4 linked regions of the Oreochromis niloticus genome follow. The protein of the gene in region 1 interacts with the protein of each later gene in a biochemical or structural test. Links are inferred from orthologs where the notes say so. Each region holds a gene or a part of one and is shown in the gene's direction. Other genes may lie near its edges.

Region 1 (8,167 bases):
GAATGTCCATTTTCCAACCTTCCTTCACCCTCTTCCCTTTTTTGTACCAGCCTGTCAGTCTCGGCTGTTAGCAGGTGTTGGTGGAGGTCATAGAGTACAAATGGGACATGGGAGAGGACAAAATGAAGGAGAGCAGACGGAGAGGCTTAAAAATGTGAAAAGGTGTGCTGAAGGAACAGCCTGTCCATCAAAGGTGTTAAATTGACTTTGAAAGGAACTAGTTGAATGATTTCCCTGCCCTCCAAAATATAGTCCCGTTCTTTGGTGCCCACCTTCAGATATTAAAGAGGAGAAGGAAGATACTTTGGCTGATTTAAAAACAGAGAGCCACTTTCTAGCCCGAGTTCATGATGTGATTGTCGGATACAAAACTCTTTTAGACCTCCTGCATTGAAATCCCGCATGAGTGCATATGCATAGTTACACTGTAGAGCTCTGAATATCTCACTTTAAACAGTGTTTATGCATTTCTTCTTTCTCAAAACATGCCAGGCTATTGAACATCTGTAATTTTCGTGCGAAACAGTTGACAAACAGAAAACCACTTTTAAAAGTGGTTAATAATTCATTTATTAATGATATGTAATTCTCTTCAAGGCTATGGGCATGAAAACCAGTAATTAGTATAAAACAGTTGGGATTTGATGAAAAGGGAGCCATCGTCATCGTTTCGTATCATTTATCATTTTCAACACAAAAGTGCTGCTTAGCACTTAGGCAAGAGCCCTTTTATGGAAAAATGTGGAAGGAAAAATGAGTTTTGTGTAATCATTTGTGAAACCCAATATATCTGTTTGCAAGTCATGGGAACTTGCTTATGAGGGTTAAAATTCGGGTCCAGGTGAAAGTCAGAACAGACAGTATGTGTCGCACTTAAGGGGCGTTTTAAGTGGTCATGATTTTAGATTGTGGCTTGAATTCTGATGGTTTAAGTCTTCCTCCTTAAATAAGCAATAAATGATGAAGCGAGAGCAAAAAAATGTCTTCTCATTAATGACCCATAGAGGGTTGTACACTAAGATTTGAACTGAATGATTAGTTAATCATGTGCAAGTGATGGGAATATTTGCCAATATTACTAAGACATGAGTTTTAAATGAAACTAGTTCTACATTCACATACATATTACTCAGCTTTAAGTACCAGTGTTTGACAATTTTTAGACATTTTATACATTAAAAGTTGATTTAATCTCAATCATAACTGATTATGCAGCTGCAGATTTAAATGAGGGTGCAACATTTCAGTACAGGGACTTTTATTAGACATTAATAAAAGTAGCCGTTCCTGCTTATAACCTTAAAGCATTTTTATTAGAAATGCCTAAAAATATGATCCATGCTGCCTACAGTCTCTTTTTGTCTTCTTATATAATCTCAGAATCTTTCGTCATTGTGAGGGTACCGCTGCAGTGTGTTTTTTTTTTTACTCCTCTGAGTGCGTTTGCTCTTGCAGGCAAAGTCTAGTGTGGGTATTTGTTTTTACAGATGAATGTTTAGACTGCTCTGTCTCCCTCTCTGGACCTTCCCGCTTTCACTCGTCATCCTCTGTCCGAGCAGTCGGAGCTGTCTTGCAGTTGAAAACGTACAGGTGCTTGCGCTTCATTTTCCAGGAAGGAGGAGAAGCTACAGTGCAAGACACAAACACTAAGAGAGCAACAGCCTAAATTAACTCCTTCTTCCAGGCTCAAGCACCATTTGACCAGTGACTTCTCTTTTCCTCTTGTCTCTTCCTCTTGTCTTATTTTTTGTAATGATTCTCTCCTCTGAACTTTGCCATCATTTCGAGCTTTGGTGCGTTGCTTTGACGCAAGACGTGACTGTTGTAGGGTTTAAACTGGTGTGACCTCTGCTGCTGTGAATGGACAGTGTTTGGACAGCACTCCAGCCTATCACCTCCCACATGTTTCCTTTCTGTCCCACTTTGTCTCCCTTACTGTAATTGGTGTCAGAGCCAACACTGGGATTTGGATGAGGCATGAGCTAACAATGTGAGCATGCCCTTACTTGGCTAAAGCTCCTTCTTATGACATCCTTCTTTGGAACACCTACCAGTGGACCGACTGCAGACCTGCACTGGCCCCTTGTGTTAATGAAAGGGCATTACACCATATCTATCTCTCACAGTCGATGCATCTGTTCTCTAGCAGTCTGAAAAGGTTATCAAATGTTGCATAAGCGGACTCAGAGAAGCATTTGTGTTAGCTCGTTTAAGCTTTGATTCAACCGAAGATTATCATGACTGTAGGATTCTCTTATTGTTAAACTTTTACTCTGCCCTTTTTCAGGCTTTGTTGGACTTTTAGTCAGATGATGTGTCAACGGAAATTGAAAACCTTGCATGATTGCTATCTTGAATCTCAAACTGAAGCAAAAGCATGAAGTCAGTTTCCCCACTTTTTGCCTAAAATGACACAGAAGATTCAAGTTCTTCTCATTGTCTCCATAAACCTGTCCTTGTAGCTGTTGTATAGACTTGTGATTCATTTTCCCATTGAGAAAGAGCTATTTCCTGCTTGAGTTGAGCCTTTTCCTTCTATGCTGTCCACAGCTAATCGGTCCCCTGCTCGTATGCATTTTTTATAACTTCACTTCCCATTTTGCTTAGCATACAGGAAGGTTGTATCTGTTGCGGTATTGCATACAGAGTTGTTGGCTAACTGACACAGAAGCAAGTGTCTAAGTGTGACTGTCACAGAGGTTCACTGACACCCAGTGACAGCATCAGTGACATGGAAGTATCTGGACACAGACATGTGGAGGTTCTTATTCCGCACCAAAAACCGCATCCCAGAGGCAAGTAGATGCTTTTATTTCATGTGTGCATGTTATAAACCTCTGCTTGTTGTGAAGTGGGCAGCTGCGTGTGAGTGTGGTTGGGTGAAGAATGTGCTGGGGACTTGCCGAAAGCTTTAGGGAGTGCTTGGCGTGTGTGTGTGTGTGTGTGTGTGTGTGCGCGCGCGCGCGCGCGAGTGTGTTGTGTGATATTTTGGGAGTGGATGAAGGGGTTTCCTCTGTGAGGGTGGATGTGAGAGTTTGCATCTTCCCAGCTGTGAAATGACAGGAAACAAAGGAGGATGTGAATGGAGGATCTTCCACCTCCTCCACCCTCAAAAATCATAAAAAATGTTATTTTTAATGCTGCTTCACGGAAGATCCTGCCTTTTCACTCAACCGGTGTAGCAAATTTAAAAGGTAGATACTCTGTTTTTCCGTCTTTGCGTTTTGGCAAAGTCATGGTATTAATGCAATCAAACTGAAACTGATCTGCAAAACCACAAAAAATGAGTGTGAGGCCATGAAGTGTGAATACTCTTTTCTTTTTAATTTTTTTAATCTCCCACACACCATGTGACTTACTTTCAAAAGACAGCTGTTCCTGAGTACTCTAGATTCCAGATAACACGAGAACCTTTATATATAGTTAGTCATAACACTGAATTTCAGCTTCTTCTCTGCAACAGCTGTCATGCTTGTAAACTCAGCTCTCCTGTGTAGTTGGTTATCTAGTTATCGAGCAGGAAGGATGTGAGATCAGTTCAAGAAAAGAGGAAGTGAGAAGTAGGAGGGAAGAGAAGTTTCCTGTCACTAATGTGGCCCTATTCTACCCTCTTCTGTGTGTGTGTGTGATTGTGTGTTAATGAGGTGTACCTGCAGCAAATCTGTATGAACAGGTACGAATGTACCTGTTGCAAAACCCGTCATGTTTTACGTAACTCATGTTAACTGCTCCATTCAAACACTTCCTAGAACGAGTCTCATATCTCCTGGATAGAGAGGGACTATGCCACTATTAGAGCCCAGGTAAGCTCTCACCACCTGTGTACTGTTGCTTTTAAATCGATTCATTCTGCAGCTCCTCCCTCGCTAAACAAACATTACTTCTGCATCCTGCTTCATCCATGTCAGATTGTATGTTCTTTTTCTTTTTTTTTCTCGTCTCCCCACCCTCTGGGAAATGTACTCTCTCATCACAAAATTGTTAAGCAAATAACCTTTTCTGAGCACAGGCTGCAGTGCAGGTTCGCTGCCAGCCAAGTAACGCTGCTCTTTGGTCAAGAGGAGTTGACTCATGCTCTATATACAGGCGCGTAATGGCTTATTCTCTCAGGTTAAAGAAGTATTTGCCGTATAAACAGCAATAAAGTGAGCAATGGAGGAAAGTAAGAGGATCTCAAGACCACTTTTCGAGCAGCGAGAGCTGTGTTAGGAGACAGGATGAGCAGGAACAGGACTGTTAAGAGGGGGAAGAGAGGAACATGCCTGGCCACAGACAGGAAAATCTCTGTCATCCAGAGGCAGTGAGTTGTCTGAATCCTCTCTGGTGTGTTGACACCGAGAGGGGACACATCATCCTCTCTCTGCCATCCTCCTCCACGCTGGCCTCTGTGTTGAATTATGGGTAAAGGGAAGTGGCACAGAGTTGGGTTCTTAAGTCTGTGAAATTACTGATAATACAAGCAAATAAAGCGTTGGGTTATTTTAATCACATTTATTCAGGAAAGCATTTAATCGGCATTTTCTTTTTTCCTTTTTCTTTATCTCTTTCTCTGTTTTGTGCGTCTTTTGAGTTTCAGTGTACTCCTGTTGCTCGCTTGCTCTCTCTCTTTTTCTCTCTCGCTCTCGCTCTCTCTCTCTTTCAGCCGCACACATGTGTGTGTGTGTGTGAGTGTGACAAGAAGTTGGGTGCAGGACTGTGAGAATACAGCAGGCTCTTCCTTCCTGCTCGCTTCGGTTCCAGTTCATTTCAGCTGCAGTCATTCACCGAAGGCACACCGGTCTAATCAGACAGACACAGAGGCAGGGAGAGAGCAAGGACCGGAGACAGAATGGAAGAGAACATGAAGATGAAGCACTGAAAGAAATGTAGCAGAAGGCCTCTGCAGTCGACAAAAGGGCAGAGGCTGAGAGACTTTTCTATATTTACCTGCAGTCCACACAACGAATCCTAACATGAAAGCACAAACGAGCCTAAAGTGTGCTCTCGGTGAGATGAGGTGAGATTTGAGATGATTATATGAGAGGTAGAAGAGTGTGTACCTTGTTATGGATGAAGGTAGGATGATACAACACTCTGGGAAATGCTGAGATGGAGAAGGACAAGAGAAAGTTCAACCTGACTCGCATGCTGTCCATCTACCTGTTCAAAAAGAACAAATCCTTGACTGGCAGCCCTGCTCACTGTAACACCTACAGACCCACGGCGGCAACGGACAAGGACACTGGCACTTTACCTCCACCGCGGAACCACTGGACGGTAAAGTGACACCTCCTGATATTGACATCTCGATCAACTTTGAGTAGTTAAGTCGTTGACAGGGCGTTCAGTGGCATCGTCTTAATGAAACTGAGTTTTAAGAAAATGAGGAGAAAAGAGGGATTCATCAGCACAGCAAAGTGCAAACGAGGTTTTGTATTCGCTCTTGTCGTGGTTGCTCAGAAAACAAGGTGCAACTGAAAGCCTGCTGTGTTCAGCCAACTCTGGTTTCCTGTTGTCAAATAAAGTCCCGGGCTGCAGTGGTCTGTGGTGATGGCGGTGGCTGTTGTTTTGTAGAAACTTTTAAAAAGCTGAAAGAAGAGACTGCTGAAAATATATATCTTTCGTCACTTCTTTGAAATATTGATTATGCAACGGTCAGCTGATTGCACTTTATTATTTTTTGTTTGCTTTTCAAATAAATTACCAAATGTAGCTTTATTCAGGATCCATGGTAATAGTGTAAACCTGAACATGCCTATAAAGGAGAAATTAGGAGCAGGACAGCCCGGATGTTCTGCTTTCTGATCCCTGAGATTTGGATTTCATAGGCAGAAGTGGGGAAAAAGTCTTTCCCCTGAAACTGCACTGGTGAGTCTAAAATTCTCCCAGCAGGGTACCTACTGTACTTTGCTTCATCACAGGGCCCGAGGTGTGAAATTAAAGGAAGATTATCAAGGGAGGGGAAAACTCTTCTCTGCATCGTTGTTGTTGTTGAGTTTTGGGTGAGGCTGACACCAGGTCAGCTGCGCGTGTTCATGTGGTGGAGCTGTGAGCGGTGCCAGCTGGGCTCCACCCAGTTGTAAGAGTGCGCTTGCTGTGAACTTGCTTTTACACAGATCTACTTCCACTGAACGTTTACACCACCAGTTCCAGTATGCTAAAAGCACATAAACGCATCGATAAGCAATTGTTTGTGCTCACATGCACATCTCACTTCTTACCATGCTTCCTCTTTTTTTGAAATGTTTTGAATTGATGTGATGCTATTTACAGCAGGAGGCACCTCCACAGGACAACTGTTATCTTTGCATAAGCAAGCGGCTTGTGACATTTTCTGAGGTTTTTTTGCAGCTGTGCAGCATTGCTGTCGTTCTGTGATCACTGACTGCTTTCCCTCCATCCGTTTTTTTTTTTTCACTCTTTAGGAAGATGGAGACATCAAAGAGATCAACATCACCCATGTGGTCAAGGAAGGCTCAGAGAAAGCTGATGCCTCTCAGTTTGAACTGCTCAAAGTCCTGGGACAGGGATCCTTTGGCAAGGTAATTCGCTTTTACTCTTTCGGTTTCTTTCTATTTTGACTGCATGTCTATTTTTCTCTTCCTCCTTTGCTACTCTTACTCCCCAACCTACAAAAATCGTTGCATCCTTAACAGTGTTTTTGGTGTTTGTTATGTTTTTGGGGGGAATTTAAAAAAAAAAAAATTTCTTTTGCAGGTGTTCCTGGTACGAAAGGTGACTCCTCCCGATGCCAACCAGCTCTATGCCATGAAGGTCCTTAAGAAGGCCACACTAAAAGGTACAGCAGCATCGGGCTTGGATGTGGTCGTGAAATTTTAATTGCTGCTTTTTTCTGTTTTGGCTTTTGGCTTCATTGACAGGAAAAAAACCCCCAAAGAAAAGTGAGTGAGGTTTTTTTTTGTTTTTTTTTTTTTTTTTTTGTAGAGCTGCACCTTTCACCTTTCCGGTAATGTTGATTTGAAAAGGCTTCGTGTTTGGCAACTTCATTTTTCAAGTGGTTGTTTAGTTTCATATAAAAGGGTGTATGAATTTCCTGTAACACAAAGACAGCTATGACATGCAGTGGTATGTGTGCATAGTAAGACCACCACTGCTTTCAGTGGGTTCCTATGAACAGGTGCTGTGGTCTCACCTTCTGCAAACATCGGGGCATCAGATTTCTTCTCATCGTCTCCCAAAATCATGTGGGTGGTTCTGTGCAGCCTTGCAAATTTAACGGGGACCTTTTACTCTCATTTAAAGCTCCGCGTTTTTATTCTTTAACAGCTTTTCATGACTCACAGGTCAAATTCATCATTACTCGCCTTATTCTGGGTGCAGCTCCTAAGGTCACCCTCTGTCTGAAAATCGCTATTTTACATTCCTTCCCTTTTGCTTGAAGTCAGCTTTCTTCTGATTGGCTGCCCATGGTGAACAGAAGTTTTTAAGCAGCAGCTGAGTTAATCTACTGTGCTCAGAGTCGCAGTTGCATGCACAAAATCCCCAAATTTAGGTCATCATTAACATTCAGCACTGACCCCATTATTTAAAAGTTTGGCTATGCTTTAATTTGAGGATCCTCTCCTATTGCAGCCTAATGAGTCCAAGTTGAATTGTACTCTCATCAGTACCAGCATTTGGTGTGTTGTAGTACATTTACCATACTCTGTGCTTATGTACAGTATGCAGTATGACACAGTATGCATTCAAGATTTATAACGCCACACTAACCCTCAATCATTGGCCTTCAGTCAGAGACCGTGTGAGGACCAAGATGGAGCGAGACATCCTGGCAGACGTCAATCACCCATTTGTTGTCAAACTGCACTATGGTGAGTCAGCCTGATGCTTTTATAAGACTCTGCTTCCCTTGCTTCCCTTCCCTCTTATTAATGTTATTTGATGTACTGACTTGATTTACTGTTTTATTACTTCACATTCCAGAAACTTTACTCATGCTTCCTGATTTACAGTTGAACTAAATGTGAATTTGTGCATCTGTAGCATTCCAGACTGAAGGGAAGTTGTACTTGATCCTGGACTTCCTCAGAGGAGGGGATCTTTTTACTAGACTCTCCAAAGAGGTAAAAAAAAAAAAAAAAAAAGAAAAGAGGAAAAAAAAGAAGTGACTACTTAGATTGTGTTGTTATGCTGACCTGAGGTCAGGCTCAGTCCTATGACCACTAAT
Region 2 (7,920 bases), on another chromosome or scaffold:
CTGTGAGATTTCCATCAGTAATGGGGGACATCTAAAAGCTGATGTGTACCGTAAACCTACACATACGGGTCAGTATGTAAGGTTTGACTCTCATCATCCACTGGAGCACAAACTGGGTGTCATCAGGAAACTACAACACAGAGCGAACACCATCCCCACTGACACAGCGGCCAGGGAGGCAGAAGAACAGCACATCAAGAAGGCCCTGAGTAAATGTGGTTATCCCAGCTGGACTTTTGTCAAAGCTGGGAAGGCGCCGAAGAAAGCTCCAGCCAATCCAGGAGAGAAGGACAACCACTGACTAAGCGAAAACCTGTAGTGATCCCGTATGTGTCAGGAGTATCGGAGCAGTTGAGACGCACTTTTTTCTCTGTGGCTTTTAAACGCCAAAACACGCTGCGCCAAAAATTAGTCCACCCCAAGGATCAGGTCCCCCGACACAAACAGAGCAACATAGTGTAGTTGATCAGTGGTTGTTGATCAATGGTCATGAGAATTTGCATAATTAAGATTAAGGAACTGACCTCACAGCCCATTGTTCCTTCAGTGGGCTGGTTTCAGTCATTATGCAAATGTACTGTTTATAAGATTGGGGAAACCTGCAGTCAGCTGAGACTGAAGAAGTCACTTGGATGAGTGACGAAACGTTTCTCCCACTGAAAACGCTACGTCCAGATGAACAGAATCAACTTTTGGAGATTGTGGTCTAGACAACCCAAAATGTGATGTCCACATATGTGGAGGTTAAAGAATATAGGACAGATTTACTGAGTGGGGTAAATATTATGTCACATTATTACATAATTACAGGTTGATAACAGTGTTCTTTAATTTATATGCAAAGATGAGGGCTGTTCAGTTCAGTAAAAAGGCACAGCTAAGAACCGTGTGAATTAGTGCTTTAAAAAATCCCAAGACAGGAGCATGAGAGAGATTGATGAATGACTTTTAACAAAAATAATCAAGTGTAAGCTCAGGTTTCACATGTGTTTCTCTCAGGAAACAACAAGGCAGTTCAGGTAAATGAGGGGGGGATAAAGGAAAATCTGTATGCTTTTGACATGAGAAATAACTGTCACTGGGCACTATGTAAAAGGTTCTGAGGATTAGTACTCAGGTTGTGCCCAGTATTTATCCGGAGGAAAGCTTCATTATTACAAACGGAAATCTGTGTGGAACTGCTGACCAGAAAAATACCAAATATTATTGAGCATTACACCTCAAGCTGTCCTGGTTACTATGTTACGGCACCGTATCTGTAAATCACTTAAAAATCGCATTCTAATAATGGCAAATGCAATATTTGTACAGTAATCTGACACCTGCATTTTCACTGACATTTATTTTATTCATTTCAGATTTAGCAGGTGAGTCGCGCACTGTGTGCACACCGCTGAGAAAAGCCCCAGCTCAGTTCATTTCTGCTCGAAATTCCGATTATTATTGAGGCGCATTAAGTGGGGCTCGCCTTTAAACACTCACCGTGAGGACTGCGTGTGTCGCCAAATTCTGCATTCTGCATTTTAGCCAAATCCTCATGTACTTACAAGATAGGTAAAAGTAGATGTTTTTGCAGATTGGGTGAGTAAGGAAATACTCCTTTCCCTATATCATTTTTTTAATACAAAAGAGTGAAACATCTGTTGGATTTCTGGGGTGTGGCGAATTTCACTTGAAGATGAACTCTAGCTCACCCCCGCCCCCATAGGTCCCGTTCAATTGCCATTAACTCCGGTGTCACATATCCTGTTGCACAAAAAGTGACTCATACATAACAGGAAGCAGCTCTGAAGGGCTAACAGCCTGTATCCAGGAAGCAACAGTAGCAACATCGAAGTAGTTTTTCAGACTGAATGGTAATCAGTCCAGAATATAGAATTAGGACTCTTTTCAGGTATATTTTTTAACAGGGCTCAACATCCATAAAGGTTTTGATCCATGCCTTTCCTGTTGTTCCTGTTGAATTCTCTCGGTTTAAACACACTCCATGCATGGTGATCTAAACATAGAGAGATGACTGGTAATATTGCAGCTGCAGCATGGTACTGAGACAACTGAAAATAAGGTGTGGTTGTGCGGTGTAGGTTTTGTGGCCTCTGCCGCTGACAGTAAACCAGGTTTGGGTTTACGCTTTTTGTTTGGTAGTGCGCATACCATGCATACCTCGTTTCTGAACACAACCCAGTCGAGGGGGTAGTGCCATATAAAGCTTAAAAGTTAAAGGGAACCACCCACATCGGTGTGAAATGGGGGCAAAGAAAGTTTCTCTCAAATAACAGGTTATGTTAAATCAAACAGGCTATTGCAGGATTTCTTAACTCTCTTAAGATAATAAAGCTACGAAAGAAATCTGTGCTCGTTTTCATGCAGATACCCTACCAGAGGAGGCGTCTTTACTTCTAAGAGTATGTTCTGCATAACAGACGCGTTTAACAAGCGTTTAACTGAGTAATTAAAAGGTTTTCCATGTCAGATAGCGGACATACCGCGCCTCGGTGCTATGCCTTTGTAATGAGCTCTATTCCAAGAATAGACCGCAATAAACACGAGCTGCTAAGTTTTACTTACAATCTTTCAGAGCAACATATCATTCTGAGGCGGGATCTTACCGATTTCTGAGCCAGGAGTTTTATTTCACAATAATGTTAAAGCTTAAAGTTCCTCGGCGCATCCCCTCCGTTATCCAGCGATATCTGTCTGCGGGCTGTGGGTCCCACGCCCCACACTGCCGTATTTGGTAAAGTGCTAAAACCTCCTCCACGTCCAGCAAAATCGTCACAGTTCCTCTTCTCAGAGATGGCTTACAGCTCACAACATAAAGGAACAAATAAAAAGGTCATTTCTGCCATGTCATGCTCCTCCCCAGAGATGCTTATACGTGCAGTTGTATCGAATAGCTGCTGTATGTGCAATGAAGAATGATCGGGTATGGAAACTCGTTACTGCCACTAAATAAATAAATTAATAAATAAATTAACAGGCAGAGGTAGCTCAAAAGCGTGAGTTATGTCGTAATTTTGGGTTATTGTGTTAAAATGCTCACTTACTGACAGACTATCTCGAAAATTCAAGTTACTCCTGAGTAATTTGATATGTCAAGACTCCTGAGTGGAATTTTACAGACAGGAAGCTGTAAATGAGGCTGGAAAGAATCACATCAAGCATTCAGAAAATCATCACAGGGGCCTCCCAGGGTTGTGTCCTCTCCTCTCTGCTCTTCTCCCTCTAAGCAAACTGCTGCAACTCAAAAGACCCGTCCGGTAAAGTCGTGAAGTTCACAGATGACATGTCATGTCCTCATCGAGGATGGTGGTGAGCGTGCATAAAGATGTGGGGTTGAACGGCACTGCATCTGCTGTAGAATTCTTCAGATTTTGGGATCCGCAGTCTCCCAGGATCTTAAGTGAGGACATACCAGAGGATAGACTTCCTGCATCAGGTTAAAGGTCAGCCTGGCTCAGGAGCTGTTGATCCAGTTCTACTGTGCAATAATCCAGTTTGATCTCTGCTCATCCATTACTGAATGGTTTGGATCAGCCACTTAACAGGATAAAAATGGACTACAACAGACAGTCAAGTTTGCAGAAAAATTCATTGGTGTTGACTTGATTCGGGACTACACTGGAGACCTATCACACGCTGGACGCAAGCTGTTCCAACTGCTCCCCTCTGGTAGGCGCTACAGAGCATAGCATGCCAAAACAACCAGACATCTGTACAGTTTCTTTCCATAGGCCACACTCTGATGAACACTTAGGTCACTCACATATTGTCTACTACTAAAATATCCAGCGTGCCTGCTACTGAACCAAAGCATGCTGTATTGTTTTGTTTCTAACTTAGCTATGTAAAAAACCAGTGTGCACATATACTCAACCAATAAAGGTGATTCTGATTTTGAGTTGAATCAGATTTCTGGTTATTATGTCAACATTTTTATTTCGATTGGCTCAGTATTTAGACTTACTGTCTTGAAATTTCAAGTAACTTCTAAATAAGTCAAAATTTAAAGATACAGTTTTTTTGGACACAATAATCTGACATTTTAATATGATAGCTCAGAATTTTGAGTTATTATGTTAGAAATTGAAGAAACATCTGAGTAACATTTAAAGAGCTTTCTTTTACATAATAACTCAACATTTTGAAATAGTATGTCAAACATTCGAGTTAGTTATCTCAAAATTTCAAGTTACCTAACTCAAAATTTTGAGTTACTAAGTGAGTGGTAATGGTAATTTGGAGTTATTAACTAATTTTGTGATATGAACCCAATACTTTGACTTGCTCATATGAAAAAAAAATCTTCATAGAAAGAAATATAAGAAAATATTTAAAAATATATTTTCCATAATTTTTTAATAAGATGCTATTAATTCTTTATGGAAATATGTTTCATAAAAAATCTGTGGCAAAAACAAGCTGGAGTGTTTGTGACACAGATTGATGGAAAAATAAATATTTATGTCAATGATTTAAAAATATATTTTTATAAAAAAAAAAAAATCTTTCCATGAACGGATGCAATTCCAACTTATCCTGTCTGGTTACAGTCCGGTTGTAGTACGCAACCCTGACCAAACGAGGGCGCTGTTTACGCTCTGTGTGCTCTGTCTACGTCGTGTGATCCTTGAGGATATGGTGGTGGATCAGGAGCCAGTCAAGACAGCAAGATAACAGCACAACATACAGCTCTATGTGAAGGACTTTGACTGGAGAGGAGATAAACATATACCACGACGATTAGGAATTAAATCCGGGTTCTTGTGGCAGATCACGAGAGAAGAGCAGATCCTGCTGTATCCGCTGTGTTTTTGGAAAGGAGACCTGAGGTGGAGCTCTTACTGGAATCGCTTTGCCTTTTGGCTAGCTAGCTAATATGCAACTCTGCGTGTGAATTTGCATGAAAACAAGACTGGTGGATATAACAACCCGGGCCTTGCATGGACTCCAGTTTCCCCTCTTACTGTGATATCCACCTGCTCGCATGCAGCTAAAGTCATGCTGGTCTTTCGTCTTGCAGACATAGCCGGTTAGCAGACTAGCTCGGAGGCTCGGCAGGTGAAAGCCGGGCACGCAGCGCTTCGGTTCGCCGTGAGATATAACGCCATGCCGCAGGTTGAAAGAGGCCGATTCGTCGAGCTGACTTCACCGAGCTAACGCTAGCTGGAATTAGCAGGCCTCTTTACGAACCTGTTATCATCTCCAAGTCAGCTAATTGCTAAAAGCCACAGGTGAAAGGCGAGGAGCACCTTTCGCTTTCTTTCTTTGCTGTGCTTATTTGATTATAAGCTCCAACTGCAGGGTTAGCCAATGCCAAGTAATCTGCTAATTGGCTAGCTCTTTAGTTAGACAGTAGCGTTATTGCAAAGCCATTTGTAGCGACTGGTTTTGTTGTTGTTTACACTGTTAAGAAAAACAGACTGTTTTCTGTAGCTTACAGCTAGCTCGGAGGAGTGATAATGCTGTTTGTAAACGTATATATATTTTTGCTTAACTAATGCATGCTGTTGATACTTGTGTATTGAGTAATTTGCACTAGATAGCCACATACACATCACTACAGATCATATTATATTCACTTTGTGGTGGCTTTCCTATTTTTAAGCATTATCAGCAAGCTGAATGAGCAGTGCTGATTTGAATGGGATTATTTAGGCTGGGATCTCTGCTGAAGCCTCCACATGTAAACAAGTCTGAGTCAAGTGAGTGTCAGGTTCGCATTAGTATTTCTTTTAATTGCACGTAATCAACGAATATCCAGTTAATCCTCTGAATATTATGTTTAGGCAGTTGCTTTAAATCTGACACAGACACTTAAAAAAAACAAAAAACAACAACAAAAAAACCCCAACATGGGATGTTGTTGACCTCCTGGAGCATAGCCAGACATATCAGCCCATTCATTCATGATTGATGACCTTTGTGGAAGTAGGTTGTCCTTTATCCATTTGCCACTACTGCGAAATCTCAGCACCAAGCTACCAACGATCTGTATTTAATTTTAACCACTAATGTAAAGGAGTGAAGACAAACCTTGGGAGATTTGAGCGTTTATAGTTTTAGCAGCACTTTCCTTTAAATCCTACTGAGCCTAAAACTGGAGCCACTGGTGTGAAACATGAAGAGCACTGTGTCTGATCTAAACCCGCAGCCCTGTAGCGTGGAGATCTGATCAAAGCGCAACAGAAAGGCTCCTCATTGTACGGACTGAAAGTTGAAGAGGAAACGGAGATCATGGTGGTGATAACAAAAGCAGCCCAGTGACAGCTTTGAATCCCGCACCAGGAAGCAGAGGAGTGTCTATAAAGGCTGCAGACATGAGTCTCCGCCAACCCACCTCCACGCTGGACAGGTAGGAGCCTCACATCCGCTACACCCAGACAGTTTATGTGGGTAAAGGTACGGCTCTTTACGCCTCGCTCCAAAAAATGTGGTATTCCCAGGTGAGCATTGTTTTTATCTGACGGATGCTCAGTGAGGCCACTGGAAGAACAGCTCAGACGGCTTGTTGACTTCAGAAAAAAAGCAAAAGATTGCACAATAATGTTCATTTATGTCATTCAATCTGCATCTCCTCTAATAAAACACTGGATGTAGTGCACCTGTCTTGTTTGTTAATACCGTTCGTCACCACTTTCACCATATATCCCTGCACTGTGCGATCGTCTGTGTGATGCATATTTGTTGTTTATCATGTGTCTTTCCTCTTTCTCCTGCTGTATACTTTTTTTTCCCCCCCCATTTGCACGTGCCCATTACCTCCCACTGCTGTGTCTCTGTGTGTGTCATGTGACGGCAGGGCAGCCAATAAGACAGACAACCAACTGTTCAGGTAGGACAGCTGCCCTGTGGTCACTCATGTCAGGGTTTGGGGGTTAGTGAAGCCTACAGATTGTACAGCTGTGGCAGCAGATTTCTCAGCGTTTCGCTGCTTGTTGTTTCATTTCTTTGGAGACGTTAGGAACCCAACATACAAGAAAAAAAATTAATAAAAAAAATTTTGTGACCTCGTTACGTGCACCTGCTGGGGTGCATGACCCATACACGAACACTTAATTTTAAGTGATAAAGAAGCTCTTTGAAATCTTTACCTAAAATACTGCAGGTTTGTCAAAGTGGCTTCTGTACCACACTGGAAGTATAGCTCTGTGCTATGCCTATGTCATAACAGCTAACCCTAATGATACCCCTCAATCTAACCTACAGCTCCAATGTTCATGACCCTGGGAATATAACTACATGTCACCATCGACAGGTTTAAATGCTGGCAATGGTGTAGGCTATGTTGTAGGTGCTATGTATGTTAATTGCAGAAGTCTCAATCAAACATCAGAAATTGAGAGGGTTCCTACTCCTAATGTGTCAAGTGTGGAGCGAACTTGAATAACTGGGTAGCTATAAAGCCTTGATTATACTCAGACAGCTGGAGACACCACAGCTGAATATAATTTCTCCTATCCTTATTTGAAGTCCACCATGTGGTGCATGCGCGTAGTAGGTGCATTTAAATGTCCTTCCATCTATCCATCCATCCATCCATCCATCCATCCATCCTCTACTGCTTATATGGGGCCATGTCACAAGGTAGCAGTCTAAGCAGAGAAGCCCATCCACCTCCTCTAGCTCATGTGAGCTAGATGTAATCTGTCCTACCCAGGTGCATCCTCCTGGTTGAGCAATCCTGGAACACCTTACCCAGAAGGAATCCTGTTCAGATACCTGAATCACCTCAGCAACTCCTTTCTTTGTCAAGGTTATGCTGGTAGTGTCTCACAAGGCACGTTGGTCCTGGGTGAGGTACCTTGCCCAGGATAGATGTACCAGAGCTTATCCCAGCCCTGTGACAGCTGGGATAGGGTCCAACCCCCTGGAATTGGAGAAGCAGAAGAGCATGGTTGGAAGGATCTAAACCACTGG
Region 3 (8,279 bases), on another chromosome or scaffold:
GCAGCTTAGTGAAAAAGATACATGTCAGAAAGGATGACAGTTCATTTTTGTAACAAGAAAAAAAAACCCCATTTTTTCTTCTTTGTCATCTTCTTTTTTAAAAAATAAAAAAATTTCTGTTTATTTTTTGGTTTTAGCTAAATTTGTCAGTATCTGTGTGTTTTAATGTTTTGTCACAGCGATATTTAAAAAAATAAACACGTCTCTGGAAGCGTTTCCTTTGGAAGCTGAAGAGGTTTTGTGACACTCAAAGTTTATTTTATTTCATTGGCTCCTCTTGTGTTTATTATTATTATCATTATTATTATTGTTTAGTTTGTTTTCGTGACTTTTTTCTGTTTTGTAGGTCACCTGTTTTGTTTTGTGCATGAACTGTGGCTTTACTGCCCTCTAATACTTCTGGGGTTACTGTGCAATACATAGCTCTGTGTTTCTTTGCTTTTGTTTTTAAGCTCGAGTATTAAAGTGCCATGTCAACTGTTTTAATTCTAAAACTGAACTGATTTAAGCAAATTGTCTGTTAGATGAATGCATGTGACAATCGGTATGAAGCACTTTTATTGGCCCAGGCATTTTTAGCTATCTAAATCACATAAAACAGCACTATACTACAGGAGTGTAGTTAAGAAGCAATAAAATGAACCAAAGTAGACAACTTGCATGTTGTTAAATCGGGTTTAAAAGAGATTAAACAATTTTGGACTGTTTTCCTTAGAGGTCAAAGGTCAAACTTGTTTTTTTTTGTTTGTTTGTTTTTTAGTAGTGTTAGAGTGGTTTTAGGAGCCACCCCTCATATATGTGCATATTAACGGTAGTATGTACATCAGAGAGATGAAATGGTCTTTGGATGAAGGCTATTTGTATTTTTAAGCCTGTTCTCTTTATTAAAATGTTTTGTGGTGAAGATCTTTCCAATAAAAGGGGACAAAAATATCTGTCATGTTTGTAGTTTTCTTAAGTTATACTACATGTTTTTTATTTTGTTCACCTCAAGCACAGCCTAGCAAGTACAGTAAGGGTTTCTTTATACTGTACACTTCATAAACAGTGTTTAATCAGCGCTCAAAAGCTGTTCAAAATAAAAACAAAACAGAATAACAGTAGATTATACATGTGACTTACACAAAATTACGGAATACTTTCAAGTGTCACTAGGTTTTCTGTTTTTAGATCAACAATATAAAATGCTGATTATAAGATCAACAATAAGCAAGGAAAGCTATAAAAGCAGGAAATGCAAATACAAAATAAAAGCAGAGGCATAAAAATTAAAGATTAAAATTTTACTCTTAAATTAAAAAGTGATCATACATGTTAAATTAAAGAAGACATGATGCACAGTAAATATGAGTTGTTTCCTGTTATGTTTTGAAATTTATGAATCATTTTATACTAAAGAGTCAACTGGCCATTTCTTTAGTTACACCGGGTTAGATTCAACAAGGTGCACTCTTTGGACTTTGTTGTCTATACTGACCATAATATGGAGTTGTGGTCAACTGAATGTGCAGCGGACAAATTTGCAGGCCAGCTACACATCCATAATGCAAATATCCAATTCTACTACACCCCAAACGTGTCTTGATGGATTAAAATGCAATGACTTGGCAGGTCATTTGAGGAAAGTGATAGTAAAGTCAGTAAAGTAAAGCACCTTTCAAGACAAAAATCACATATTGCTTCTCAAAATATCAGAGCATTAAAAAAGAAAAAGGGTAAATTATCATGATCTCGTTGTCATATTTAAAAATCAGTTTGAGGTTATTTGAGTGTGTTATCCTTCTGAATGCAGCCATCAGAGGATGGGTACACTATGATCAGAAAGGGATTGATATGGTTAGCAACAATGCTCATTCAGACATTTAGAGTAAATGATGCTTACTTGGTAATAAGGAGCATACACTGTGCCAATTAAATGTCCCCCACATTACACCACCAGTCTAAACTACTGGTACAAATAGGATGGATACTGGCATGCTTTTATTTTGTTTATGCCAGATAAACTAAATGAAAGCATCTGTATGCTGCAGCAGAATTTGAGATCCATCAGCCCAGTCAGTGTTATCCTAATCCGCACAGGAGTGACACCTGGTGCGGTCTTCTGCTGCTGCATGACCTGAACTTCGGAAAGTTGTCTTGACCATGACTGTAGGACTAAATGGATTGAGTTGCTGACGTGTGATGGGCTAATTAGATCTTTGCATTAATGAAACACTGAACAGGTGTACCTGGTGAAATTTAACAGTGAAAGATAGAATAAGGCTACTGTGGGGATAAAAGAAAATCTGACTGCACAAAGTCATATATATGGCACAATTTATCAAATTATTGTCATGTAGTTTAAATACAAGGATCTCAAAGTGACAAGAAAATTCCCTCTTTGGGAAAAAAAAGGGATTTTATTAAACAACACATACGCCTAAAATACACACTAATTATACATATTATTAGATAATAGAATATACGATCGTTTAATATGTAAATGTTATATGCAGCTATATATGAAACTGAATCTGTTTATTTCACTGTCTCATTAAACATACACACAGAAAACACATAGGAAGCAGTTTAGTTGTTAATCAATAGGTGGCAGCAGACAACAACAAACCTCGTGGAATTGTTTCACAGCCCCAACACTACGAGGATGCAAAAGCAAGTCGGTATATATAAAGGAATTAATATAAGGTGTCTGAGTCTGTGAGTGTGCTTTCAAATTTTAGAAAAAAAATAGTTAATTTCTTTCATGTGTCTGCATGGATTTTTTTATAATCGTCATCATCTTTTTTTCAAAATCAAGAAATCGTCTAGCAAGCGGAGGGTGTAGACGAGCTTGAAACCAGAGGTGTGAAGGGGATTAGCATTTCAAAATAAAACCTTTTGCCCTTGCGCAAATTGCGAAAAATGACTGAATATAATGAAATAATAATGCAATACTTACATAATATAACGATATATTGACTTCAGTATATTGCTTTCAGGATAAACAGAAACATATTTTCTTCTTTTGAAACTGCAGTAGAGTACATTTGTCTTCTTTTACCACGACAGTTACCGATATATCACATTGCACTGTCAATGTTCAAATTTCACTCACATCAGGAAAATCCCAAATTATTTTAATTATTATGTAAAAGAGATCAGTGGTTAGTGCCACTGGGATCTTTGATCTCAGTGAGACTAACCTGGTTAAATTAATAAATATAATTTAATAATTATTATTATCGCTTCAAAGTAAGTGAATGTTACTCCCCATCTGGTTTATTTTTCTATTACTACAAAGAGGTCAAAGATTGAACACTCTGGGAGGGACAAAGAGGTTATCACTAATATTTATTTTTAATACTCATTCCATTTTTATTATTTATATATTTATTTATTTAGTAGTTAGTTAGATAGGTAGTTTTCTTTCTTTCTTTTTTACATGTGGATCCCCGTCCTTTCCTGCATTTTTCATATTGAATAAATGATACTTTTATTTTGGTATTAATGGACCGGATGTTGTATTCCTGCTAACCTGACACCCCAGCAGTCGTATCAGAGCCAGGAAACAAGCTGAGCTGTGCCGTGTCGTTGCAGTTCAACAGCGAGGTTAACTCAGTGGTCGCAGAGATCAGCCTTTATGTGAGGATGGGCGAACCCCGAGACATGGTGTATGTCGCCTAAGAAGTCACCAGACAGAGACGGAAGACGTGGAGCTCTGGGGGAATCATCTGGAAGCGTTAAGAGGGAAGGTAGACCTGCCAGGGTGTCACGGTCTTTCTGGGCAGGTAGACGTTATCAGGCAGCCAGACTAGCCGCTCAGCTAGTGTTTCAGCGGCAAGACGCTAGCTTTAATCAGGTTGAATGAACCGTTGCCACAGACGGCACAAAAAAAACGCAGCACGGATACATTTTTTCTAGAAATATAAAGCTATCCCTGTGAAAAGCACATACTGCCTTTTTATTGTTTTCAAGAAGACACCGGTGGCTGCTCGTGCAAGAAGGCTGATTGACAGCTTGTCACAACGGGTTTTCCAGATGTGGAGTCAGCACAAGAAGTGTAGCCGGGCTCTGAGTCGGGAATGGCTGGCCGGAGCAAACTCATAGGTGGAATCGCAAGTCAACAAACTGCAACAGCAAGCCATGCATTTCAGTTTGGCGCTGAGGTGTCCCTGAAAACCACAGCAGCCGACCTGACACGTTGTGCTAGCCAGCTAAGTGAAGTTACCGAGAGGATACTGGAAACTGCACAGGAAAGCGGGTGAAGTGGTGCAATCCGGCGCGCGCGAGGACTGTTTCTACAGTCAGTATGAAGAGGACGGAGAATAAAAACAAAAGGAAGCTCTGCAGTATGGAGCAGCACGACAGTGGAGGAGAAGAGAAAGATGCGGTGAGTAGTAAAAGCCTTTCGATACTCCTTGCTATGTCAGGAGGACGTGTCTCGTGTCCTTGTTCCCTCGTGAGTTCATGAGCCCACAGAAATGGCTGGAAACCACTTAAAGAGCATTGTCCTTTGCTTTCGGTACCTTTATGCAAAACCATTTTTATTAGTAGTTCTGCAGTGTAGACCCTTTTTCCAGAACTGTCCTAATAACTATGGGTTTTGACTTAGATGAGTTAATATATGCCATCATAATTAGTTGGTATTGCTAGTAGTTATAAAACTGGCTGTAAGCATGCAGTCACACAGCAGTGAGGTTGTGTGAAAAATGAAGCAGTCAATATAGAATAAACAAGCAGTTATGATGTCCGTCTGTTTCATCAGCATACTACTAATGAACAGTTAATCCTCTCAGGAAATACACGCTGTCAGTAAAACATGTACAGAGATGCTCTGTCCCTGCAGCTCTACATGTTTGAAAGACCCATTCCCTAATGGAGAAAAGGGACCTAATTCAGGAGCTTCACAGTTTTTGCTCAGTCAGTGTGGATGCTGGCTGTTTCCTACTATGGTAGGTTGTATACATTCTTTGGTTTGTCAGATGAAGGCATGTAATGTGGAGTACTGAAGAAGACTAAAGTGTGCTCTAGCAGCTAATCTGCGCTTTGTCAAAGAGTATGGATTTTGGATTTGTTGTAATTTATCAATAAATAGAAGTAATCCACCACCAACTAACACCAAGTTATCCATAGTGGGCTCATTACTTGGTGTTATTTGGCCTTGTGCTAATCTATTTAGTGCCCAATTTGTTCAACATGTAGTTTAATGCCAGTCTGGGATACCTGGGAAACCTGCAGCTTAAGAAAAAATGCATCAGAACTGGAGGTCAGAGGGGCTTTGAGCTGTGCGACCAAGCTGGTAATTTTATTTCAGGTTTTTTTTTTCAGTTCAGTTATTTGATATAAGTGGTATTGGGGGAGGGTTCATCCCTCCCATAAAGTTATTGATTCTACATATATAAAGTCTGAAAGTCTGTGCATTTGCACATTTAGAGGGTTAAGAGGCTTAAGCACAAAATCAGCGACTCTTTGCCACAAATGTCTACTTTAACCAGTTATTAGCTGTTGGTGGAAAATGCTCTTTAGAAGGGATGCATCAGTATATTGGTTTAAAAACAGGTATAGGCCAGTATTGATGGCTTTCGCAGTACCATATGTCAGAGTATTTTAATAATATTCAACTGGCTAAATGTTCAAAATGTTTTGTGAAGTCCTGAAAGATTTTACAACATTTTCCATAAAGACTTTTTGAAGTAAGAAGTATGAAAAGCATAGCACCGGCTATCAGCCCAGCATATCTGTTATAGTAAATATTGATTTGCACCCACAATTTTACAGTCAGATTTGTTGCATGCCCCCTTTGGTGGTTACTTTACCTCACTAAACCAATAATTAAAATATTTAAGACTTTATTGATATGGGCAAGCCATTACAGAGGACATCATATTTGAGTCCGTAATAACTCATGGTTGCGTGGTAATACTGTACAGTGCAATTCCTGATAGAATTCAGTAAAAATTTATTTTAATGCTGCTAGGAATCGAAATCACTTGCAGCTTGTGTGTTCAGGAGCCGTACTAAGGCAGTTTTATATTTTATTTGTCTTTGTTTGTAAAAGCTATAAACATAGTCCTCTAATAAGAAAACCTCTGTCCAAAGATGAAGTCATTGGTGGAGCTCCAAATGTTTCCCAAAATCAGCCTAAAAGAGGAAATGTCTTCTTTGCAGGCAGTTTAGATTCAGGGGAAGGATTTGGTTTTGGGGAAGTTTGAGGGAGTGAGCTTTATATTTGTATCATGGGAAGAAAGACAGATGTTTTTGTGCTGCCACAGTTTTATTTGTTCTTGTGTGAACCGTAACAAAATGAAGGAACAGACAGGGCGTTTTCATGTTAAGTGACTTATCTGCCTATTTGCTTACATTATGGAATGCTGTGAAACATGTGCTGTATTACTTCATGGTTGGCTGCTCTTATTTTCTTGCAAATATGTATAATTGGGGTTTCTGTAAGATGTGTGACAAAAGCTTACTTCTGACAAAACAAAGAGATGTCCTCAGAGAAAAGCTGCACATTCTAGAGGTCAGAGCTGTGCATGGATTTCTGTTTTTGCTTGATGATGATTTCTACATGTTACATGTTAAAAATAACAGCCAGTTGCCGTCTTGTAAACAAAACCCACACAAATATCTGTTTTTTATGCTTAACGTCCTTACTTTATGAGAAACAGATTATCAGATCATACAGTTGCTCCTGGAGGATCACTCGTCACTGATGTCTTCACTTACACACTGTCCTTTTTACAATAAAACCCCCCACAAAATAACCAACATTTCATACAGTCAGAGGATGGATGTCATTTTCTAACTTCAGCGTGAATTTCAATATGTTGCCAGGGACAGCGGATAAACACATACAAACACCCACTGGAGTGTTGTAATGTGGGACCTGCATACTGACAGTTGGAAGAAGAATGCTTGTTTTAACTGTGGTGACTGCAAACAGTCACCACAGTTAAAACAAACAGGACATTATTACATCATTGAAGATATATAATCTGCAAGGTGTAATCAAACTTCTCCTTTATCCTTTAAACAGATTCAGATTAGGGTTAAATGTAAATGCCATTGAACATTGAATGTAACAAATGGAAAAATGGTAGCTTTCCTTTTTATAATGAATATTTTTGGAACTCCATCTCTTTCCAACATGGTGTGAGTAGTGCTGGGGGAAAAAATGTCAATGGCGGTGATAAATGTAGGCTTTAATATTTGATCAGACAAACAATAATTTGGTCTCAGGCAGTACGTAAGGTTGGTGTAACACTGCTCTTCTGAGAGAGAAAAAATGACAATAACCAGGATGTCCTGATGAGTAAAGCCAAGAAGGAAAATGTATCTGCTGTTCAGGAAGAGATAATACCAAAGAAAGGTCACACATCATCAAAAGTGTGGAAGTGGTCAGTTTTCTATGATTAGACCAAGCACAGATAAAGACAGGTTGCAAGATATAGTGGCGACAGGTCCCAACAAAACCCAGTAACATGACACACTTATTTAAAAAATATCAAAAGTATGCAAAAGAATGTGGATCCTCCAGGGCTTGGAAAGCACGCATGAGCTTCAGCCTCACGTTCTTGATTATTGGTCCTGAGGAAAGGTAGGGTCACAGACCATCTGCTTGAAGTTGGGAGAACACGATTCCATCTGTGACAGACAAACCAGAGAAGCACCTTGGTAAGGTCTTCCTTTGTCTCTCGTCAGCTTCTTCGTAGACATCAAAAACTGGATGTCAACCAATTTTCTCAAACTGAACAATAATAAAACTGAACTTTGGTTGTGGTTCCCAGGTGGCAGCTAGGAAAAGTGGCCAATCTGCACCTCTATCTCACCTTTTCCACAACTTTGGTGTCATCCTGGGCTTCCTCCACTCTCCTTAATTTTTACTACATATTAAATCCATCTCTAAAACTGCCACCTAAACGTGTCCAGGCTCTAGCCAATGCTCTCTGACTCTTCAGCTGAAACCATCATTGATAACTTACAGTAGCCCAGGTGGGAAGTACTTAAGATTTTCCTGCTTGGTCTGTTTATCAAAGCCTTGGACACACTGTAGTATGTTCAGAACTCAGCTGCCAGAGTTCTTACCTAAACACGTCACCCTAACACTTACGTGCTGGAGTTTGGCGATGATGACGGCTAAGCTACCAGTCAACTTCCGTATCTCTTATCGAATCCATCTCCTCATTTACAAATCCCAACATGCTTTTGCTCCTTAGAATTTTTCTGATCTTCTCTTCTAGACCTCATGTTTTCTTCTGCATTCTGCAGATAAAGGCGTAGTCTCCACTTCTAAAGCCAGT
Region 4 (7,854 bases), on another chromosome or scaffold:
CAACTGAAGCCTGACACGACAGAGCTCATGATGTCTGCAGCGTGAGCCCTGGTAAGAAGTTATATGTGACAGTGGTAGTAAGGAGGGCTGTTGGAAACAAAGCAAATACTATTTGTTGACACTTTAATAACTCTTGAAGGTTAAGTGGATTTCTGTTTTATGTAGGACAACATTAAGCATTGTCTTTTTCTATGGTGTTTTTTTTTTCTTGCTAAATATTGAGCACTGCTCAAACAACAACATCTGTCTGAACACCGCATTGATTTCAGCAGCATTTCCATCAATCCATTTTCATCCATACTGGAGTGAATCCCAGCTCTCACATCCTGGACAGGTAGCCACGCTGTAGAGTTAGGTTTATCATTTGTTGGACAATGACACATTTTTATAGTTTCGTGGGGTTTTAAGAAAAACTTGGCTTGAACTGTCTAGGAATTGAATAAATGAAAGAAAAAAGACAAACAAAATAAACTACAGAGAACAGCAACAACTTTCGGGGTGGCCAAATCAACAATCTAGTACTTTTTTTAAAAAAAATTTTCAATGCACTGGTCAGCTCAGCAACACCAAAGATCCACCAAAAATTCCACAGATGACAGACTTATTTCCATGGTTAAGGGGGGAACAAGCCTTTCACCGTCATGGTTCTGGGTCATTTGACTCAGCATTTGGAGTTTATTGTGTTTTTGTGATTTCTTGTTCACACCGAACGCGATAGACGCGAGCGAAAACGCCCCAAACGCCCCTAATTTGACGTGTGCACATTCGCACCTCAACGCGTGTCCAAGAAAAATCCATCGCGCGTCAAAATTGCATATTTTGACGCGCGTGAACCGGAAATGTGGGAGGAAGTTTTGAGTTATGAGTGTTTTTGTGCTGTTTTTTCTATTGGACGTGATGGTTATCAAAACCAAACATGATAAGTTTGGCAAGCGCAGGAGACACGACACGGAGGAGATTTGTCAATCAGGCTGCAGAATGCAATGCGCATTGTTGAAAGCTGTATGGTGCAATAACAAAAATCAGCGAAATGTGACGGGTGAACAGCGGGACTACTGTATACTGTTTTATTAATAAACAAAATATATTCCTATATGACAACACGCATAAATTAACTGCCTACATTAATTCACTGTAAACCTTGTCCTTCTGACTGACACTCCCCTGCTGCCTCTCCGGGCTGTCCCTGGTCCTCGGGGGGAAGTTCTCCACGGTCCGCACCATATTGCCGCTAGTCTCCCGCGGGGTGAGGAAGGGGTCCAGAAACTCCATGACCGCGAAGAACTTCCATCTCTTCCCCGATCCTGCTGCAGACCCACTCCTCTTCTCCTTCTCTCTCCTCTTCTCCTTATTATGTGTCCCTGAGGCTCTTCCACTTTCTCCTGCAGATGTCCTCTGAATAAACACTTTATCTTGTTAGCGGAAAGGTATTTGTACATCAGTGGGAAAATAGCGGGACAGTATAGGCGTCAGAGCTATGTCACCAGGCTCCTGATTGGTTGTCGCGGCGCGAATTGACGCCGGAGTTCAGATTTTCCAACTCGAGCGGTAGAGGCGAAACACGCGTATGCACAAAATGCAACACAAAAACTCACGCGCGTGGTTTTTTTTCGAGAGTCAAACGCGCCAGACGCGATACACTGACGAGCGTTTCACGAGTTTTGGCATTTTCGCGACGCAAATCTGCTTCCGAATTTTCGCCGGACGTGCAATCACGTGTCATCGCGCTCTTTCCATTGACTTTACATGTAAACCTGACGCTCTGGCCGCCTCTATCGCGTTCGGTGTGAACGCACCGTAAGAGTTGTAATGATTTAGTTTTGTATAATTTAGGACTGAATTTATTTGTTTCCCCGTTACTTAATTACGTCTCTGTGCATATCGCTCCCCCGACCTCTGTGTATCTTAGCTGGGTTGTTGTGTTTCATCTCCCTTTTTCAGTTCACGTTCCTCTCCTTGTGTTTCATTCCTCACTCTCTCCCCCTCCCTCCCCGTCTCGTCTCCCTTAACTGTTTCCATCTTTTCCCTTCTTTGTCTCTTCAGTCCGTATAGTATCCAGGTGCGTTCCTTCCTCCTGGCTCTTGTGTCAAGCTGCGTTTCTTAGTCTGCATCTTTGTGTTTCCTGTTTTACTTTGACAGCCCCGTCTCCGTGTTCAGGATGTTCAGTTTTTCTTCCTCCTGTCTCGTCTCACCTAATTTGTTCCTGCTGTGTTCCCCATGTGTTTCCACTTCCCTTGTCACCCTTCTGTGTATTTATTGTGTGAGTTTCCCCCTTGTTTATTTTTGGGTGGTCTGTGCTTCATGGGTCATGTTCAGGTATTCATGTTTAAGTGTTCCAGTGTTTTAGTTTTCCCAGTGTAGTCCAGTTAGTCTCCTGCTGCCTTTTGTTTTGTATCGCTCTCCAGCCTAAATAAAGACTCTGACATTCACAACCTCTAACTAAGTCAACAGCCACAAGGAGGTAGACTTATTGTTGCCAAAGTCTACAAGCAAGATATGCCTTCATGAATGTAAATACAGAAGGATTACAACAAGCCACAAACCACTGGTTACACTCGAGAACAGAAACATGTAAAAGAGCCTGATAAGATTCAGTGTTCTGAAAAACAAAATGTTTTTGGACAGATGAAACCATAGTTAATTTGAATGAGAATGATGGATGAATTGTGACGTGTGCAGGACTACACTCTGCTCAGATTCAGCCAAATACTGCAAAACTGATCAGATTAGCATCTGCACCAGGACAAACCAAAAGTCTTTAGATTACTTACTGTTCAAACATCCAGTCTAGTTAACTTTATTACCTCTTGCAAGGAGGTTATGTGTGTCATAATATCTGCATACGTGACAGCTCAAAAAGTTTTGAATTAATTCTGATAAAACTTTGTAGGGCTGTAGATTAACAATCCATTAAAATTTTCTTACGTCCACCGAGGTCATCAAGGTCAGCGTACTTAGAAACTATGACTTTTACAAGTGTGGTGTGTGTTATCAACACATATAAAGTGACGTATCAAGATTTACATTATGTCAAAATTGACCTCTGACCTCACCCCAACCGGTTGCAGCAGATGGCCCCGCCCCTCCCTGAGTCTGGTTCTGCCGGAGGTTTCTTCCTGTTAAAAAGGACTTTTTCCTTCCCACTGTCGCCAAAGTGCTTGCTCATAGGGGGTCATATGATTGTTGGGTTTTTCTCTGTATGTATTATTGTAGGGTCTACCTTATAATATAAAGTGCCTTGAGGCGACTGATGTTGTGATTTGGATTCTGTATAAATAAAATTGAATTGAATTGAACTGAATGCTTCAAAGTCAGTAGACTGAAGGTCAAATAATGGTATATAGAGCTATTTAAAACTATGCTTTTTCAGATATCAGTTTAAAATCACTCACTCTTTTATGTCTTTACGAGGTGAGACCCCCACTCATATCATCGAGCTTCTTCACCCTTGCTCTCCAAACTGGATCCTTAGATCCACTGATGGTGGTCTGATGGCTATTCCAGAGACGCCCTTTCCAAACCCTAGCACCAATACTGTGAACCAGTTTACCTCCCACTCTACGCACCATGGACTCTGTGGCTTCTTTTAAAAAACAGTTGAAAACTCAAATATTTATGCAGGCGTTTGGGTAATGTTCTTGTGTAATATGTTGTTTTGTCTGATATGTTTTTATATTACCTGTAAACTACTCTGTCTTAAAAAGTGCTGTATAAATACATTTTACTTACTTACTTCTTACTGCTACTGTTTGTATTGACAACATATAGGCATATAGGGAAAAATACAGTATATATGTGGATTCTAAGTATCACGTTACCTTGAACCTCTGACCTCTCCTTTAAGGTCAAATAAGGTCAAACTTTCATAAATTTTCTTTTATCTTTAAAGCGATGCTAAAAGTCTAATGTGTTTGTTTATACTGCCAACATTCAGGAAATGATAGAGGTATATGGGGATTCTCAATATCACATTGTAGTTTGCATCCAGATATCATGTCGCATTTGACCTTTAACCTCACTTTTACATTTCACAGCTGACTCCAAAGGTGTGTTATGCCTTTAAAGAAAGTATTGTCAAGAGAAAGCGAAGCCGAGTTAGTTAGAAATACACTGTAGGATAACACCATATATAAACTCAAGTGTTTCATGTCCAGTTATTACAAATCAATACCTGTTATCGATTACCTGCTCCTACATAATGTTTGAGTAATCAAAGTAAACATCTGTCATGTAAAAGTAAATACTGCAGAGAGGGAGCTGCCTTAGAGAGGCTTGTGCTCTTGTTGTTATCATTATTGTCAGGGTTCATATAAAAAGCAGTAATATGAGGGACGCCAGCATCAGAGAAAGCAGAAACCTGCGGGTTAGCAGTCTGCTGCTCTAACATCTGGTCTGGTTAACTCGTTAATATAAGTTGACCATCCTAACACTGTAGGCTACAACCGGAATCTGGATCCCTGTGCATTACTCCCAGCTGCAGCATTAACTGGAGCACTTCCCCTTTAAGAAAGTGAACAGCGTGAAGCGGTGGAGGAGCTGGTCAGGAACTGGTCAGGAGCGGTCGGCAGTGAAGGAATCTCAAAACTTTTCCAAAACACAGTTTTACTGCTCCGTTACCTGCTCCAGTACACCCCCAGTTTACCGCCGAATATCACAACTGCGTCCCCGCCTTCTTACCGTGCCTGTCCGGGATGTAGTGGATGCAAGTGACCGCTTGGAAAAAAGGAAAGTTGGGAGAGGGAAAACTTGTGGAATGATGCCCGACCGACTGCATCCCTCCCTCCAAAGTTCAGCTAAGGTTGCTAACGTTAGCTAGCGAAGGAGCCAGCGTCGGCTAGCTGTTATGTGAAAGTTTGGATAAACTTTTCTCTGACTGGTAAAACACGTAGAAACACGGCATCTGTGATAGTGGAGGAAGCGTGTGGAGATCGAAGAGCTGTGACAGACTGAAAGCGTCCACCCCGGGTTTGTTATCATAGCCGGGGCTAGTGCAGCTAGCTGATACACAGCTAACTTTATTACAAGTTAACTAGAGTCGGTTAAGCCGCCGTGAGGCATGACAGGACACACCGCTCAGCTCCATCATGCAAACAGTAACAGTGCAGTACTTTAACGCTTCAGGAAGCTGTGTTCAGACCTGCTGAGTGGTATCCTTAGCTGTGCTTGAGGAGCGACAGCCATGGTTATCTTTGCATGTGAAGGCAGCTGGATGTACTGAGATCACAAAATGACTCTAATGCCTGTGGAGAGTTCTGGAAAGCAGTTTGGGTTTTAGAAATCTAACTTTTATTTGGATGCAGCTTTGTTCAAGCCACCTACAGCCAGTACTGTATTTTTACATTTTTGGTATTTGATGACATCCTTGCCTTCTTGTCAAGTCTTTCCGGGAGGCCTTCCTGCATTGTTATGAACATTGCTCATCATCTGCATCCAGAGGGCTCGGATCTGGGATAAAGTGGAGAGCAGCCATCATGAAGGTGACAGTAACATTTGGGCAGACAGGTGTGGTGGTGCCATGCAAGGAGGGATGGACCGTGAGGGACCTCATCCAGCAAGCCACGCAGAGATACAGAAAACTCCTGGAGCAGGTACTGTGGAGAAGTTTGCAAAGCACCTGTCTGTCTTTACAATTACGCCTGATAGCAGTCTTGGCACGAGAAGTGACTGTTTTATTCAACACTTGCACACATTAAACGCAGCACATCTTTATACTGTGACTGTGGCAAAAATCTTAGCTGCAGAAAAATATGTTTTTGTCAGTGATATCCCATAGAGCGAGCGCTCTGCTTGGGAAAAATGAACAAAAAGCACGAACAAATGCTGCCTTATCTCTCTCCGAGTCCATCTCACCCTTGAGCTGTCAGTTAGCTCCATTATTTATTGTAAGAAGTAGTTCTGTAATAATGTGTTAAGATTTTCATGAACTCGGAGACAGATAAGTTTTTATGAAACAGCACTTTCATAACATTTGAGGTTTTCCCCCTGAAGTCATGAAAGAATAATCGAGAGCTCAGTCATTTTTATATCATGAAAGGACCATATGATTTTCACATCTAAAAGTCTTGGGAAATTAGACAAAGCCATGGAGGTCCAGTTTTCCATAATTGCTGTATAAAAAATTAAAAGCATATCTGATATGAATTGTGATGGTCCAGACAGGAGCAGGCGAGAGTCATTTCCAATTTAGTTGTGAGTGTAAAATGCAAATGACTCCGTCTTGTGATTCCTTTATGACTGCTGTTGATTCCCGGCGCTGCTCTCAGGGCAGGAACCCCATGACCCCCATCACACAACCAAATCTTCTCAGTGACTTGCTTCATATTGGGTCCATTATTCAAAAGGCACAGCAGTCATATGGATGGATCGTCTCAGCTGTGATTGAGGGAGAGATGTCGAAGGTGTGTGTGTGGGTTTATATGAGAGAGTGCTAGAGATGCCGTCCTGTGTTTTTTTTTTTTTTTTTTTTTTTTTTTTTTTTTTTTGCTCCCTGGACCTTTTTTCCTTTTTAATCTGCTTCCACCTGTCCGTATATTACCCCTCACTGCACAACCCTCCTGTGTGTTTTGCCCCCTTCATCATATTTATCATTCTTATCTTTTACACAAGTAAATCTCCTGTTCACCTTGTATATTGCTGTGCACGTAGCTTGAGCCGTCGCGTCCCTTTCGTTTAAACTGTTCTTCCTCATTGAACACTTCCTCCCTCACATGCAGCTCTTCTTTAGAAGATAGCCCCATTCCAGCTAGAACTAGAAGGGTATGGATAGAGGAACTGTCACCATCTTCAGCTCAGAAAATGGAAGCTATGATGATGACTACCTCTAGAAGTAAATGTGTCTGAAGAAAAGATTCATGCGGGTACATGCCTTGAATAAATCAAAGAAAAGGGCCTATTTTCATTTTCACAGTAAAGATCAGTTTACACTGTTTTGACTGTAGTTTGTTTGCTCTTAAGCGTGATGTATGGTACTGTCTCGAATCCCCGCTGTAGCGAGTGATGTTGTTGTGTCTCCATTAGCTCTGCTATCACGAGTCTGATTGAGCCGATCATGCTGGAATTAGAGTCAATAAATCTTAGGCAACAGTTCACTGAAGAACTGACTCTCAAGTCTCCTTTTAGTAGCTCTGACTTTGTTTTAATAATAATACAGTTATTTGCTTTATAAAGGCATCATCCTTGTGGAAGGATGCTGTGTTTCTCAGACCTGACACAGCAGTTGAGGTCTGCTTTGCTGTAGTTACATATCGGGGAAGGTGGACTGCAGGCTACAGCATAGATCTAACGCGGTGCTATGAAGCTAGAGCAGGAACATCTGAGGTGTGCTGAGATGTGAGTGCCTCCCTGCTCTGCTGCTTTGGTCTGTTAGTGTTTAAAGTCTTTGTTTGGTGCATGTGTCAATGAAATTCTTTGCTAAGAACATGCTCACTCTGTGTGTTTTGGCCTGCTCTTCTCTTCTTCCTCTGTTTTCTTTCCCTTTTCCCGCTGTCTCCCACACCTTTGTCAGCAAGTCTCAGTCTCTCCTCCTCTTTCCACCTTCGCGCTGCACTTTGTACTCCTCAAATGGTTTTAGCCATTTTTCCTCTTAATCATTTTCACAGTAATTGTCCTGTTGTTTGTCTTCATTTTTTCAACCCTCCCTTTCAGAACTTTTGACATCAGACTCCAGTTCTGCTTCTTGGGGGGTGTGAATTTGAAGTCTCCTTCTTCTTCCTAAGTATTTTCTCTGTGTGTGTTTTTCTGACTTTCTTGTTGTCACTCAGTCATTTTTCTGCAACACTAATCTCTTGTAGCTGTATAATTATGGCTGTTAGCGTGTTTCGGGATTAAAAATCTAGGATATCTGTGTGTGTTGTA

The links.
Region 2: the proteins of rps6ka1 (region 1) and arhgef11 interact in a test that uses a peptide from one of them, tested with the Homo sapiens proteins (2 studies listed by BioGRID and IntAct). The link is inferred for Oreochromis niloticus from reciprocal best matches to the Homo sapiens genes RPS6KA1 and ARHGEF11.
Region 3: the proteins of rps6ka1 (region 1) and mast2 interact in a test that uses a peptide from one of them, tested with the Homo sapiens proteins (2 studies listed by BioGRID and IntAct, with this or other methods). The link is inferred for Oreochromis niloticus from reciprocal best matches to the Homo sapiens genes RPS6KA1 and MAST2.
Region 4: the proteins of rps6ka1 (region 1) and pard3bb interact in a test that uses a peptide from one of them, tested with the Homo sapiens proteins (2 studies listed by BioGRID and IntAct, with this or other methods). The link is inferred for Oreochromis niloticus from reciprocal best matches to the Homo sapiens genes RPS6KA1 and PARD3B.

What each region holds. Positions count from the first base shown.
Region 1 is NC_031983.2:14,341,750-14,349,916, forward strand, and holds the start of rps6ka1 (ribosomal protein S6 kinase alpha-1), read left to right. Parts: upstream 1-4,686; 5' UTR 4,687-5,088; coding exon 5,089-5,256; intron 5,257-6,404; coding exon 6,405-6,521; intron 6,522-6,696; coding exon 6,697-6,778; intron 6,779-7,730; coding exon 7,731-7,811; intron 7,812-7,983; coding exon 7,984-8,063; intron 8,064-8,167. UniProt on the Homo sapiens protein: Serine/threonine-protein kinase that acts downstream of ERK (MAPK1/ERK2 and MAPK3/ERK1) signaling and mediates mitogenic and stress-induced activation of the transcription factors CREB1, ETV1/ER81 and NR4A1/NUR77, regulates translation through RPS6 and EIF4B phosphorylation, and mediates cellular proliferation, survival, and differentiation by modulating mTOR signaling and repressing pro-apoptotic function of BAD and DAPK1.
Region 2 is NC_031967.2:26,816,335-26,824,254, reverse strand, and holds the start of arhgef11 (rho guanine nucleotide exchange factor 11), read left to right. Parts: upstream 1-4,591; 5' UTR 4,592-6,320; coding exon 6,321-6,355; intron 6,356-6,802; coding exon 6,803-6,835; intron 6,836-7,920. UniProt on the Homo sapiens protein: May play a role in the regulation of RhoA GTPase by guanine nucleotide-binding alpha-12 (GNA12) and alpha-13 (GNA13). Acts as guanine nucleotide exchange factor (GEF) for RhoA GTPase and may act as GTPase-activating protein (GAP) for GNA12 and GNA13.
Region 3 is NC_031981.2:24,654,125-24,662,403, forward strand, and holds the start of mast2 (microtubule-associated serine/threonine-protein kinase 2), read left to right. Parts: upstream 1-4,793; 5' UTR 4,794-4,808; coding exon 4,809-4,931; intron 4,932-8,279. UniProt on the Homo sapiens protein: Appears to link the dystrophin/utrophin network with microtubule filaments via the syntrophins. Phosphorylation of DMD or UTRN may modulate their affinities for associated proteins. Functions in a multi-protein complex in spermatid maturation.
Region 4 is NC_031987.2:2,518,495-2,526,348, forward strand, and holds the start of pard3bb (partitioning defective 3 homolog B), read left to right. Parts: upstream 1-4,460; 5' UTR 4,461-5,471; coding exon 5,472-5,588; intron 5,589-7,854. UniProt on the Homo sapiens protein: Putative adapter protein involved in asymmetrical cell division and cell polarization processes. May play a role in the formation of epithelial tight junctions.